Pelodiscus sinensis: one gene and its partner. The protein of the gene in region 1 interacts with the protein of each later gene in a pairwise test. Links are inferred from orthologs where the notes say so. Each region holds a gene or a part of one and is shown in the gene's direction. Other genes may lie near its edges.

Evidence for each region. The genes of interacting proteins can lie anywhere in the genome.
Region 2: the proteins of SDCBP2 (region 1) and PTMS interact in a two-hybrid assay, tested with the Homo sapiens proteins (2 studies listed by BioGRID and IntAct). The two-hybrid records come from large-scale screens. The link is inferred for Pelodiscus sinensis from reciprocal best matches to the Homo sapiens genes SDCBP2 and PTMS.

Annotation. Positions count from the first base shown.
Region 1 is NC_134728.1:2,655,322-2,662,935, reverse strand, and holds the start of SDCBP2 (syntenin-2), read left to right. Parts: upstream 1-4,520; 5' UTR 4,521-4,756; intron 4,757-7,614.
Region 2 is NC_134711.1:138,425,058-138,432,432, reverse strand, and holds the start of PTMS (parathymosin), read left to right. Parts: upstream 1-4,374; 5' UTR 4,375-4,609; coding exon 4,610-4,657; intron 4,658-7,375.

The DNA of each region.
Region 1 (7,614 bases):
ATAGCCTGCCCGCCCCATGTGCCCTCCTGACGTGATGGCCCAGAGCCGGCTGGGCAGCATTCCAAGGCCTTTGGTGTCTAACGCACACTGCGGGCAGCAGGGTGACGGTGCACACGGGGGGGAGGGAGGGGGCGGTTTGCCAAACAACCAGCAGGTTCCTGCTTTTATGTGATGGCCTCTGGGTTTGTGCCCCACATCAGAGCAGCAGGGAACACCCGGGGGCAGGTTTGCCCTCCTAGTTGCCCCCGTGCTCCCTGCCCCCTTACTTCCTGGGCCTCTCAGGCTGACGCTGCCGGGTGAAAAACTGCTTCTCAGCATCTTCCCCCTCTGGTCCAATGAGCCGGCGTCGCCCCCGTGTAGCCCAGGGGGAAGCTGACCACAGGGTGTGTGTAGGGAAAGGCCGTGCAGAACAAACTTGCAGGCAACCTGTGTCCGAACCTGGTCTTCCCGTGATACCTTTGAAATTCGGTGTGTGCCCTGCGCGCCGTAGAAATCCACAGGCCCCCCCTCCGCTGGAGAGATCCATCCCCATGAGTATCTGCGAGGAAGGCGACTGATTTTCTTCCTGGATGCAAAGGGCTCGTGGAATCTGTACTTTGGCTGCGACGCGGGCTGCTGCGGGGAAGGCCTGTGACCGCTCACCTGGTGGTATCAGACCCAGATGCCCATCCCCATCTCCAGAGCCAGGCTGGAGCATCATGCAGACTCCTGGGCCCTGTTCTTAACTCGGCCGCGGATGTCTGTGCAGCCGGCGGCGGCTCAGTTTTGCCACCTGTAGAATGGGTTTAGTCGTGCTGCCTTCCCCGGGGGTGGCGAGGCTTAATTAACTTTTGGGATGTGCCACTGACAGGGAGCTGGACACAGTTGTGTTCAGTGCCAGGGACAATGCACAGAGCCACAAGAAAGACCTCGCTACATTCTTGCACCCTCCGCCCCCACCCGCGACTGTACAAAGCTACTCTGTTAGGGAACGCCAGTACCAAGGGGCAGGCAAACCGTGAAGCCGGTAGCTGTTCCACAGTCAAGCGTGGGTGTTGTCAGATCCTGCCTCCCGCCCCTCCCCCCCCCCCCCCCCCCCCCCGTCCAGCCCCAAGGAACCCATTTGCGGCGATGCACTGGAGCTTAGCAGGAACAGCAGGCGCCTGTGTCCTGCAAATGGAAAGAAAACAGGGTAGGAGACTCCCTGGCCGGAAAAGCGAGCCCAGGCCTGCGCTTGTAGCCTAACCACTATCCTGTCCTGCTGCATCAGTGTCAGGGTGTCAGACCGACCCTGTGCCCAAGGATCCCCTAAGCTTTGCAAACAACTCTCAGCTCAGCCCCGAGCACGTCTGGCTGGCTAGTCAGCCAGGGAGTCACTGCAGAAAGGGCTGCAGGTCGCGTGCGCGGATAAGACTGAGGGGCTGCAGGTCGGACTCCCTGCTCCAGCACCCTCGGCACCTGGCTGGTCCCGGAGGAGGGATTTTGCCGGGCCAAGAGAGGTCAATTCTGGCCCAGCTGCCAACCTGCCGCCTCCGCCACGCCCTGAACTGGCCGATCCTGCCCTGAACTGGCCGATCCCGCCCTGCTGGGTTCCTGGCCAATGACCTGCTCAGGCTGCTAGTGGCTGCTGGCCCGGGACTGCCACCGGCTCCAGTCCAGGCTGCCCCACAGCTGCTGCCAAACCTGCCCCATGGCTGCCACCACCTGCCCCGCTGCCCTGCGGCCTGGCTCCCGGCCAGTCCCTCCCGCTGGCTGAGTCCCCTCCATTGGGGCTGCCTGGCCTAGGAACAGCTGTGGGGTCCTGCCAGGGAGTTGCCAGACCAGAGCATCCCGGTTTTCAGAGGTTCTGCCAGGCCTGTCGTTCTATTGAGACTGTGCTGTCTGGGGGTAGCAGAGAGTCCCTGGGGACGACGTGTCTCCGCGCCGGCCCATTCGGGTAGGGTGTTGGTCTCACCTTTGTGTGGCCTTGCGCAATATGTTGGCAAAACCCCATCTGTGGCAATGGCAAACACGCAAAGCCAGGGGGCAGGTGATAAAGGAAACACAACAAGCCGCGGGCGTGTCAGCGTAAGCCAGCGGAGGACGGGCTCCCTGTCTCCTTTCACTCAGGAGCCCGTTGGGGGGCAGGGCAGTTTTCTTGAGCTTTTGGGCGCTGGCTCCTGGGAAGCCAGGCTGCTCAGCAGCAAACGGTATTGGGGGGCACCTGCCTTGTTAGCTAGGAAAGGGGTCCCAGGAGCGTCAGGCCAGGCTGGTCTGTTCTTTTGAATCGTAGCCAGTGGCGTGCACCAGCCTCTTAGTTTTGGTTGAAGGTTTCTCTTCCCATAACGCAGCCCCCGGGGGTGTCATTGCAAGGGCTCCCCAGGGCTCCGCACAGGGACTGGGATCTCAGGCAGACGCTGGGTGCTCAGGCCCTTTGGAGGCAGAGGAGCTGGGATTTCTGGGCGTGGCCAGGGTGAGGGGCTGGGATGTCCCAGGGAGACGCGGCAAAGGGACTCCGGGTGCAAATTGTTGATCTGCAAGGCGAGCCTGGGATGGCCCAGAAGAGGTGGTTGGCTGACAGGCTGCTGGCGGCAGGTTCTGCCACCCAGCCAGCGGGGCTGACAGCCGCCATGGGCCCCTAAATAAGGTGGAGGGCTCGGCTCTCCCAGAAAGGGGCGGGGCCTCAGGTGGAAGGGGCGGGGCTGAGGCAGCCAGCTCGCTGCAGTCCCCGCCCCATCCACATTGTGCCAATGACTTAACCAAGAACCCTGGGCCCCTTTGAATTGCCGCCCCCCTCGCCCCCCCCCTTGGCCAGCCTGCACCCCGCCAAGCCCAAGCAAGGCTCCCATCAGCTGGCGTAACACGGTGACTCGCAGCCCCTCACCGTGGCCATGCAGCACTGAGCATTGCAAACACCCTGTCGTCATGGGGTCTCCAGGGTCACCTGGCCCCTGGCTGCAGACGGGGCCCTTTCAAGCCAATGGAATTGGCCGGGCCGGTCTCCCCTTCAGCGGCCCAGGCAGTGCCAGTATTAACAGCCCCTGGCTGTGTCCGTATCCTGCACCCCTGGACCAAGCGCCACATGAGCTCTCCTCTCATCCGGGGGGCGGAGGCTCCGATCGCCATGCTGGCCAAGCTTGTGGGTCTGGTTGCCGCTGGGGCCCAGGCTGTGCGATGTGCTAGCCAACGCCGGGCAGCGGTTGCCAGCGGCAACCAGGCTCTCAGGGAGGACCAAGGCCTCGCAGCAGCTTTGAATTTGTCCCAGAGGGTCACACGGCGGCGGGAGGGATTCGTAGCGGACTGGGCTGAGGCGAGGGAACGATGGGCAGGAGCAGCGACCCCAGCCTGCAGCTGGGAGGTGACATACTCAAGGCCACAAGGCAGAGAGCAGAGCCGGGAGTCAGCCCTGGTCCCTGCTCTGTATCCTCACCCGCTAGGCCGCGCTGCCCCTGTGCTTGATGTTGACCTTGCAGATAGGACGGGGGGGGGATTTTTTGGGGTGGGAGGCCTCTGTTCCACAGGAAAATCAGTCAGGGGCTGCACACAAGTGAGAAGGAAAAACCCCTCACCTGCAACTGAAAGACCCTCCTCACGCTCCCCTCACACACAGCTGGCAGGGGGGCAGGCTAGTAGATTTTTGTGCCCCCCCATAGGCTCTGGGGTGGGGGCCAAAACAGGGAGGGGTTCAATGTGTGTGTGTGTGGGGGGGGCTGCTGGGAAGCGCATGTGGAGTGTGGTGCCTGAGTGGGAAGGTGCAGGAGCAGGCTGAGCAGGGAAGGTGGGGGGCAGGAGCAGAGTGGGGGCTGAGGATGTGGGGGGGGAGGAGGGTGCAGGAGCAGGCTGGGCATTGGGAGGGGGGGTGGTCTGTGCTGCCATTTCCCCAGCCCAGGGGAGGGGGAGGGGCAGCGCTTGGAGCCACTTCCTCCCCCTGCCAGGCAGAGTCTGAGGGCTGGACCCAGCTCCAGGCTTGCCTGACTCCAGCGAGGCTCGGGGCAACGAGGCTGCAGGGCTGGAGTGCCAGCACCGGCTCCCCAATGCTGCAAGGGTGCCGGGAGAGCTGGCTCCAGACAAGTCGAGGGCTGGATCCAGCTCCTAGCCTTAGGTTCCCCACCCCGAGCTCAGGGAAGCCGTTCTCCAGTTTAGAACCTGCCTCCCATCTACACCCTGAGCCCCTGGGCCATTTTCGGGCCAGTGACCCGCATGCTAGGAGCGATGGTGGAAACGATGCCCCCAAGAGGCGGGGACTCCAGATGCCTGCGCAGAGCAGCCTGAGGCGCAGATGCCCTGCTTCACAGACTTTGGGCATGGGTGATCCTAGCCAGTGCTTATTTTGTTTAAAAAAAAAAAGTGCCAGTACTCCAGTTGTTGAGCAAAAAAAAAAGATGGGGTGGGGCCGGCCTTGCCCTTTTAAGACAAGCAGCCCCTTTAAGACACACGGCCCAGCCGACTGTCGAACATTTGCCTGTAGAGAGGTGCTGGTATGCTTATGCTCTGTTCTTTCCAGGTAAGCGCTGACTGGAGGTTCCAGTACAGTGTCCTGGGCAGTACCGTCACAAAAAAACCCCTGATCCTAGCACCTTTCGCCAACATTGAGCCTGGATGGAGGAAGACTTCCTCTCTCTCTCCGGCACCTGCCTGTTCCCTGGGCTGCCGAATTCCAATCTGCTGACGGCCAGGTCAGCTGATAGGGCGAGGCCCCGCCCAGACAGGCAGCACCTGCTCTTATAAAGTCACCGGCCCGTGGGAGAGGCAGGTAGAGCGTGCAGGAGAAGACACCTGCTCCGGAGCTGTCCCACAGGTAAGGAGGGATGCCCCTTCTGCATGGCTGTGGGTGGGATGTGTGAAGTGTCACCCTGCTTCCCCCACTCCACTTCCCCTTCTTTGGGGTGTTTGGCGTCCGCAGGGTTGGGAATCAAATCCTGGGGCGTGTGATGGGCTCCAAGTCAGCCCAGTTAGTCGTAGTATCCCAGGGCTGGAAGGGGCCTCAGGAGTCCTCGAGTCCAGCCCCCCGCCCATAGCAGGACCAGCCCCATCGAAATCATCCCAGGTCTGCATTCGACTCTGGGAGAGGCTGGTCCTCCTTGCTGGGCTGCTCCGCCCTGTGCTGTTTGGCCAGGGGGTGGGTGGCAGGGGCGGGAGGGGACACCGGCTGTTGATTTTTTAAATTGGGCTTTCGCTTGTTGTAACTGAGCACATGATAGGCCCAGGTTCTGATCCCTGGCAGCAGCATTTCCACTGGGACCAGGGTGACCCCCAGGTACCCACTTCACAACAGGATGGGGGCCAGTTTTTCCAAAGGGGGCATCGCCTGGGGTGCACACCGGCTGCTGAGAGCCTCGGGGCCCCGCCGTGGGCCCTGGGCACTGACACCTCTGGAGACAGGTTCCCCGCTAATGCAAATTGTCCAAGGCCCATGGAGTCCAGCTGGGCTCTGACGATTTCCACACCCCTTTGCCCCAGAGGGCGACGTTGCTGTGGAGCCTGGGGGCTCGTGGGAAGGGAGCGCTGCTCCCCGTGTTGGGAAATCGCTCTGGGATCTGCTTCGCTTTGTGGCCGTCCTGGCGCGTCCGAATCGGGCGGAGAGATGCTAGGACGCGGTGGGAGTGGGGGGGTTCCGCTACATTTTCCATCCGCTGGGGAGTCACCCGGTTCTGCTCCCTCGGGAGTCACCCGGTCACTGACTTGACTGCACCCTGGCTGGGTCCCAAAGTTTCTGGGCTGGGGAAGGCCATGACATTTGCCCAGCTGAGGTTGGGGGCTAGTTTCCATATGCCCGGCACTGCCTGTCTCGCTACCTCTGAACTCCTGGGCACTGGGGCAGGTGCCGAGGCAGGGCGGAGTGGGGGGCCCCCAGACCCAAGGTGATGCTATTTCTCTTGACTGCGGCTGGCCTCTGGCATGTGCTCCTGTTTTGAGATCCTGCACGTAGAATCCTGGCATTGACTCCACCGTTCCCGGCAAGCCTGATCTCGGGGGGTCGTGTTCTCGGAGCTAAGCTCTGTTTCCCTGCCTGCCTTTGCAACCCGCAGCCCTGCCAGTGGGGAAACAGACGGCCAGGGCTCCGGAACACCGTCTAGTTGGCTCTGACTAATCCTGACTTGAGCAATCCCCCCCCCCCCACACACACACACACAGAGCCGTCGCGGGTCGGACCGTGGCTGGCTGACGACAGCGTGACATGAGCTGGGCTGGGCCAGTCTTTGCTATCAGATCAGCTGTTTCCTAAGGACGTGGGTGGGAAGAGAGCCACCTCCTGCCTCTCTGGGGTGTTTAACACCAGGCTGGACAGATCCAGGGGGCAGGGCCCCTGGCTCAGATCCACGCTTCAGTGGAAGCTAGGCGTCTGGCTCACGTCCCTGCCTCCTACGCTAGTTTCAGAACGTGCCAGAGGCCAGATTCTTCCCCGGCGTAACTTGGAAAGCTGCCCTCCTTTGCACCCGCTGGGAACTGGCCGCACTCTGCAGGGGAGGTTCAGGCCAGCCCGCAGGAAGGGCAACAAGTAAAGCTACACGGCTGAGTCAAGCAGGGTCTTGTGTCTTCCACCTTCCCTGCTCGGTTTCCCAGCACTCCAGCTGCAGGTCCCGGGAGTCCGGCCTGGGGTCCGCCGGCAGGAGTAGGCCTCAGTCGCAGGAGAGGAGGATCCCATTTGATCTCGGTGCCACTGGAGTCTGGGCCCCTCTGTCAGTGTCGCGGGGAGGGCCCTGATGCAGCACACAGCTGGTTTTGTGGGGTTCTCTGTGGGTGGGACGCAGCCGTCGGGGGGCTCTGGTCTGACAGCTCTGCCCAGAGAGACACCCGCCGGGCTCGCAGCAGCGTGTGCTTTGCCGTCAGACCGGGACTTGCCATGAAACTGCGCTATGGCCAGTGCCGGTGTCCCTGGAGGGCCACCCACCGCCCCAGTCCGGCTGCCGGCACAGGAATCCTTGCAGCCCTGAAGGGCTGTCTGTACCCTCCCCCAAGTCCAGCCCCTGCTCCACCCCCACCCTCTTCCCACCCCTGCTGTGCCCTCTCCCTCCCCCAATAGCATCCCTTTCCGCAAACTCCTCCCCCATCAGACGCAGCCTCTGGTGGCCTGGCAGGGGGACAGCTGGGGTCAGCCCCTGCTCCCCCACACTGCGGTGGTGGGAGCCGTGGGGAAGTGGAGTGATGCAGCAGCCTCCCGGGCTAACCTGTGTATGGGACCCATCCTGTCCCCAGGTTGGGTGGGGCAGCCGGGTGGGGTGGGGTGTGGCCACTGTGGGGCCTGAGCCGGCCACGCTGAGCCATCCCATGGGTGGGGCAGCTCTGCGTCCCCTGCATCCCCCACGTGCCAGGAGCGACACGGAGCTCGCAGCAAGAACTGTCTCTAGCCCCATGGACTGCCAGTGCTGGGGGAGAAGGGGGCACAGACAGGGCTGGGGGACACGCGGGGTGCGGGAAGAGCGCAGGCTGGCAGGCAGGGCTGGGAGACAGGTGTGTGTGGGACATCCTCCCCGCCTCCCAGAGCCATTGCCGGAGTTGGGGGGAGGTGGCCCACGAGAACCTGAGAAATGGCCCTGAGATGAATTGTTTGAGACCCCTGCTGTAGCTCTCCCATTTGTGCCTTAGGCAGAGCGGAGGACGACCAGCCCTTGTGGCCGTTAGCCGAGGCCTCAGGTGACCTGGGTGCAAATCTGC
Region 2 (7,375 bases), on another chromosome or scaffold:
TGGAGTGGAGCGCAGCAGGCTGGGAGATGGGCAATGAGTGCAGAGTGGAGCAAGTTGCGAGGTTGCTTTAGCTCCTGCCATTATGGTGACTACAGGAGGACCCAATCCCTGCCCCAGCTTGCATCACTCATGGGGGGAGGGGGGCTTTGGGAAAGGGATGTAATGGAAGTGGGAGGGTGGCAAAGCAGGGGTTAGGTGGGGGCTGAACAGGGACAGGAGCGGAGTGAGGGCAGGGCACAAGCAGAAGCAGCATAGGGGCAGGTTAGGGGGGCAGACTTGCCCTGGCCCCACGTCTCCCTAGGGACAGCCCTATGTTTGGCAATGTGCATGAGCATTCTCCATCCTGGAAAAGGAGAGTGTAGTGTTTGTGGATCATTTATCGTGCTTAATAAGAACACTAAGCAGTGTTCCAAGTATGGCAATAGGAACAAGTATTTCATTAGTAACAAGGTTCAGAAACCTCTCACAGAGGGGTCCCCAAACTATCATCTGGGGACAACTTTCACTGAAGAGGGCTAGATCTAGAACCTGAGCCCTTATAACAAAAGGCTCTATATCTTCTAACCTGATCTCTAGTGCTCTACGAAACACAAAATTTGTATCCCCATCTGATCTGCAACTATGTACCAGGGATTACCACCTATGTGCAGGGCCCTCTCCCTGAAACAGCCAGTCTCCTTGACTGAAATTAGACTGAAACCAGGACCTTCAAAGTGAAAGCTTCTGTATCTCAGTCTAGGGACATTAAATACTGGTTAAGTGAATAATCAACCTCATGGATTCTTATCGCTTACCTGATTATTTTACTGTTGCCGAGGATGGAGCCAGCAGCCTGTCAGGCAGGCAGCTGGGGCCACCCGTGGTGCTATTTTTAGTACCAAGGTGCCCTGGGGACTAGGACTGTGGTACTAAAAACAGCACTGTAGGCAGCCTCTGCTGCAGTCCTGCCACATGGTCCTGCCCCGGGAGCAGCTGGGGGGCCGGACTGTGGTGGCTTCTGTAGCTGGGACTGCAGAACTAAAAATAGGACCGCGGTCCCAGCAAACTGTTTTCCTCATTGAAAGTAGAAAGTTACGAAAGGGGTAGAGAGAGAACTAGAGGAAGGGGCTTGTGCTGAGAGAAAGGGAGGCCAGGGCAGGAGAAGAAAGGGGCAGGCACTAAGGGGCAGGGTGCAGAAGAGACAAATGCCAGGGGGTCAAGAGGAGACAATGAGAAAAAGGGCAGGAGAGGGGGCGGGAAGGTGTCAGTGGGAGTGGGGAAACAGGGTGATGCAAGGAGAGGGGCAGTGGTGGCAAGCAGGAAGAAGAGGAGAGGGGAGGAGTGGGTGCCAGAAGAAGAGGGGTTGAAAGGAGAGTGGGCATGAGAAAGGCAGGAGATGGAGCAAGGCATGTGTGAGGGCTCAGAGGGGCATGAGGGGAACTGGGGCAGGAGGTGGTGGCATCAGGGAGAAAGCGGGCAAGGAGGGTAGGGGCAGTGAGCAAAGGGGGAGGCACCAGGAAGGTGCAGGGGTAAGAGAAGGTGCAGGTGCCAGAGTATTGTGGGGGGTTAAGCAGCAGGGCAGACACCTGGGCTATGTCTACACTGGCGTGATCTTGTGCAAAAACTCTTCAGTGCAAGAGTTCTTGCCTTAAAGTAGCTGCGCAAGAGAGCGTCTACACTGGCATGTGCTTTTGCACAAGAGCATCCTTGCCAGTGTAGACGCTCTCTTGCGCAAGAAAGCTCCAATGGCCATTTTAACCAGCGGGCTTTCTTGCGCAAGAAATTCGTGTTGCCTGTCTACACTGGCCTCTTGCGCAAGAACAGTTGTGCAAAAGGGCTTATTCCTGAGTGGGAACATCTGAGTTCTGGCGCAAGAAGCCCTGATTTCATACAGCAGAATGTCAGATTATGTGCCCAAGAACACACAGCCAGTGTAGACAGGCAGCAAGTTTTTGCGCAAGATCGCGCCAGTGTAGACACAGCCCTGGAGAGGAGGGTTGGGCACCAGAGGAGAGAGGCATGGCAGTGAGGGAATGGGGAAGAGGCAGTTGATCAGAGCGGGGGACTAGAGGAGGTATAGGCACAGGAGGAAGGGAAGATGCAGGGGTCAATGAGGATGGGGCTGGGCCCCAAAAAGCTGAGGGGAGTGAGAAGGGCAGGAGCCAGGACAGCAGAGGAGGGCGGGGGGAGGCTGGGAGACATGGCAGTGAGGGGAAAGGGAGCGGGTCATAGCTTGGGTTGCGGTGGCACACACCGGACAAGCGACGGCGACCTCAGTACTGGCGCAAAAACAAAACTCCCTGGCTCAGGGGCGGGGCGCCTGGGAGGGGACACGGCCCAACACGGAGCTGGGCGCCAGCTGGGGCCGGCGGACGGGCAGCCAGTGCAGCGCCCCCGCGGCCAGCCGGCGTCACTGCCCCGCACCTCGCGCACAGACTCGCGCCTGCTGGCGGCGTCGCGCTCCAGCGCCTCGGGGCCCTCAGCCGCGGCGGGAAGCGGGGCCGTGACGGGCCCGAGCCCCCCGGCCACAGACCCAGCGAGCGCGGCGAGCCGGCCGCTGTCTGGCGGGCCCCGGGCTGCCCCAGCCGCGCGCACAGCGCAGCGCCAATCCCCGCCGCCCTTTCCCTGGCATCGCCCGCGGCGGCGCCCGGCCCCCGGCCACGTGCGCTGGGGGCAGCGGCCCCAGGGACACTCGACTGGCCGGAGCTCAGCCCGGGTCAGCCCCGCCGCCGCCGCCCGCCCCCCACGGAAACCCAGACCCCTCCCTGGTTGCCATAGTAACACCCTCCCCGCCTGCTGGCCTCTTTCCCAGTCTCGCCTGTGCGCCTTTTCCCCATTGCCCAGAATTGTTTCCCGCAGCCAATGAGAAGCCTGTTGCCAGGCCAATGCTCATTTGAATTACCCAATCGGATGCCCGCCCATTTGTCCCTCCTTATATGGAGTGTTGGGCGCCGCTTCTTCCCTTCCCCCATTAACTTCCCCCTCCCCCCCCATCCGCAGAGCGCGGGAAAAACACCCCTGGCCCTGCCTGGTTCCCGCGCAGGAGGGACCCGACCCGACCCCGCCCTGCCTGGGCGCAGGCGGTGGGGGGCGGAGCGAGCAGGGCAGGGTGGGAATGGAGCCAGGAGGGGCGGGGCGTGCGGGGAGCGCGGGCTGCTGGAGTGGAAAATTCCAGGCTGGAAGCGCGCGCGACATTAGTGCCCCGCCCCGCCCAGCTCTGCCAGGCACGTCGTACCTCCCCCCGCGCCTCCTGCTGGCCCGCCTGGAGCCCCAGCCCCGCGACTCCTGCTGGGCGCTGCGCCCGCAGCCAGCGCCCCTCGTGGGGATGGCTCCTCGCCGCCCTGCCCCAGACCGAGCCCTGCAGGGCGGAGCGCCTGGTGTGAAGCGCCGGGGCACTGGCGAGCCGGGCTGCGATTGCTCTGTCACTTCGGTGCCGGGCTGCCTCGGGCCCAGCTTGCGGGGAGGGGGCCGAGGGTCACGTCTGGGCCCGAGAGCCAGACCCAACAGGGATGTTTTGAGTCAAGGCGGGACCAGAATTCCGCCTCTGCCTTCGTGCCAAGCACCCTTTTCCTCCCCAGCGTCCTCCAGCCCGCAGCTGGGCCGGGTGTGAATGGGGGAGCCCCCGCAGTGGCATCATAGGGCGACCAATAGCTGAAGTGTCAGCGGTTAGAGTGGTTGGACGATAAAGCCAAGAGTTTCCATCTGTCCTAAGGAGATAGGAGCAAAGGCGAGATAGAGACAGGCACAGGGGACAAGATGGTGGCTAGTAGCACTTTTCATGTCAGGGAGTTTCAGCCCGTCACCTAAGAACCCCCGGCATCTCCCCCGTGCTCTTGCTCCACCCCTAGACCCAGCAGTAAGTCACAGCTAATGGGAGAGAGTTGGGGCCAGAGCTTCTGGGTTGCCTTCTGAGAGGACGTAGGTCCCATGGGCTAGAGAGCAGCTGGGGAGGCAGGATTTCGGCTCTTTGCTTTGACTTGTGTGACTTTCCCTGTCTCGGCCTCGCTTCTCTTCTGCAAGAGGGTGAAGAGCAATGTGCTATTTGTTAGTATTGCTACTGCAGTAGCGTCCCATCCCGATCAGTACGATGCACAGTGAGGCAGGGTCCCTGCCCTGAAGAGCTGGCACACAGGCCGATAGACTGGGCAGGGGTGGGAAAACAGAGACTCCGAGATGTGGCCAAGGTCATCCAACAGGTGACTGCTAGCGCCGGGACCTGACCCCCGGGCTCCCAGCACCCCTTCAGCGCACGGCGCTGCTTCCCCTACTTGTCAGCGGGCGGGCAGATGTGCGCGCACGTTGTTCCAAGGCTCTTTCCACCAACCTGGCTTGCTGTGCGTCGTGCCTCCCTCTTCTCCCTCCCAGTCCTCTCCCCTCCCTTCCCCAGGTCCCTCCTTCCGTCGTCACCGAGTGGTGTATAAATCCCCTTCTCTGGCATATCCCCCAGCACGGCGGGACGGGAGACCCTGGCACTTTGGCCCCGGACACGAGCTGCTGCCACTGGCCTTTGGGTGCCTGGGACTTTGCGCTCCTTGGTCCTGCCGCCCAGTCTCCGCTAGCTCGTTTCCCAGGGGCTCCCGGGCGTTGCTTGGTGGGTAATTCCTCTGCTCCCGCTGCCGCACCAGCCAGGATGTCGGAGAAACGCGCGGAAGAGGCGCCGGCAGAAGTGGGTGCCAAGGTGAGCCCCAGCCTGACCCTGCGCTCGTTTGCTGGGCCCCCGTCCTCCTCGCCCCCTCCTGTCAGTCTCGCTGGGAAGAGCTCGGCGATCCTCGCATGACAGCGGCGGCGCGGGGAAAGCAGGGGCAGGACAGGGCTGGCTACTCTCTGCCGCCCCCCCCCCCCCGCATTGCTCTCGCCTCCTCTCAGGGGCGCCTTTCCTCCCCCCGGCTTCCCTCCGGTCCTGGGCGCTGAAATAGCTTTTGCGTGGAGCGGCGGCCCCGCGTGCGATGCACACGTGAGCGGGGCAGAAGTATTTGTGCCGCCACAGCGCTCGCTCTTTCTCCTCCTCGGCCGCTTTGTCTCGCCCTCGCCTCGCCTGCGCGCTGAGCTCCCGTTGCGCCGCTCCTCGCCTCCCGGGCCACAAAGCTAGCCCCACGCGCGGGCTGCTCCCCGATCGCTTGCTTTGCAAAGCCCTTGCACGTTTCTGCCGCCCCTGGGCAAACCGTGCCGACTTGGCCAGACGCTCGGGGGCAGTGCCGCTCTATGCGGCCGGCCGGGGTCCGAGCCGATCGGCAGGGGTGGGTGGCGGAGGGCTTTGTTAGACTGACCACGTTAGAGTAATGTCACAGGAGGAGGTGGGAGTACACTAGTGCCGTGCGTGCGCTTGTGGGTGTGCACGAGTGGGTGAGGGTGCGAGCTGTGCTAAATGCTGCTAGCGCCTAGATTGAGTCCCTCTGAATGCTGATCTCTCCCTCTTTGAGTGCGGCGGTGCCGAGCATTGTTTGCCAGGAATGGTGTTTGCCTGCCTTGTGGCCCTCTGTTTTGAGCATTGGGTGTGCTGCGAGTGTGGTGGGAAGGGGCTCTTTGTACTGGAGGTGCTGTGGGCTGGGCTTTGGTGAGGGTTGGTTGTGTGTTGAGGCTTTGCATGTTTGCATTATGTGCAGCACAGGGGCATGGGAGAAAAAGTCACAAACAATTCATCCAAAATGTGGGCATGTAGTTTTGTTCCACCCAGCCCCCACATGCAGTGTTATAGCCTAAGCCAGGGGATCTCTTTTAAAGGCTGCTGGTGCAGAAGCTGGTGCTTTAGAAATGGTTTTGCTGTTTTGGATAGCTAAAGGTTAATAGACTTAAGGAAGAAAATGACTGAGGGAGAGAGAGGGAAAGGAGGGAGGGTGAAGAGAGAGGAGTGAGGCAGAGTGTAGGGAACAGATGGCATCACTATGACTTATTAGTCCTTGGGCAAATATAAACTCTCATTACCAGTTTGGACAAAGACAAGTCCCAAATAGTAAAAGAATAAAATGCTCCTGAGCCAGCCTTTTCACTGCTGCATTGTAGGTGCTAGGGAGCACATTCAGCTACCCACATTCATGGCAAACCTATACAGAAAATCAACTGCCAAAACAGCGATAGTGGATTACATGGAAAAGACTCTAAATACCAAGTGCTTTATGGCATGGGGCTTCCCCGATTTTTTTTATCTAGCTGAGAAAGCTAAATACTGCATTTCTCTGACTGCCTCCCACATTCCGAGTTGCAGCTGGGGTCATGAAGATAAAGGTTAATACTACAGGGGACAGTCTTTTCTCCTGTGGCTTTATAGAATATGAAAAATGCCTTTAAAAAGTAGACATCAGAGCTGGGAAAATCCACATCACCTCCTGCACTATGTAGGGAAGGATGTTTCCTCTCGCTCCATTCCCAGGATGCCTAGCCTTCAATTCAGCAGGGTATTTAGGCATATGAGTAGTTCCACTCAGAGGTTTAGTTCCTAGTGACCAGAGTGATGGGGTTCTTCTGGGCCACTTCTTTGGGGGAAATGGCTCCTGGCTTCCCAGATCCCTAAGCATTGAGGGATGGTCACAGAACATCTTTTCCTTGGCTCAGCCGCAGTTCTTTTCCAATAGCTCCCCCCTTACACAGTCCTCCTCTAGGGTTCATGCCCTTGAGGCACTAGCAGACAGTTGTCAGTCTCTCATTAGTTGTGGCCAGAAAACTGAGATCTTTACATTTCAACCTATTCTGACTAGAGCTAGGAAACAGCTGCACAGCACTGAGGGGTTGGTGACACTGGGGAGTTGTTTTACCAACTGAAGGGCCTAGACTCCTATTGCTGAAAACATTGAGAACAAGGAGCCCCAGGGTATGGTCTGGAGGGTGTGATCCAGCTCTTGGTTCAGGTAGGGTGGCTGTACCTCTCCAGCCAACATAGCGCTGTCTACATTGGAGCTTATGTTGGTATTACTTACTTTGCTCAGGGGATGGTTTATTCCCACCCCTGAGTGACATAAGTTATGATGACATATGATGTAGCGTAGACATAGCCTGAGAGAGCTTTTCCTGTCTGATCATGCAGAGGAGGGACTCTCTCCAGCCTCTCTCCTCCCAATCCTATAGTAAGTAAGATTAAATTAGTCCCAGCCTCTCCTGGGACAAGGGAACTTCTGCTAATTTGTAATTGGAGGGAGGTGTTGTTCCCAGGGCTGGAGGGGGGAAGAGGGATAATTATTCATTCAATGACAGACACTCGGATGATACAGAAATTGTCATACTGGATCTGACCCAGAGTCCATCTAATCCCTCTCACCATGGCCTGCACCAGCTGCCTCAGAGGAAGACTCAGGAAACCCCCTAGTGGACAATTATACAATACATTGCATACAGGAGCAGTTTCTAACCTATCGACTGTGTCTAGACTGGCATGATTTTGCGGAAATACTTATAACGGAAAAGT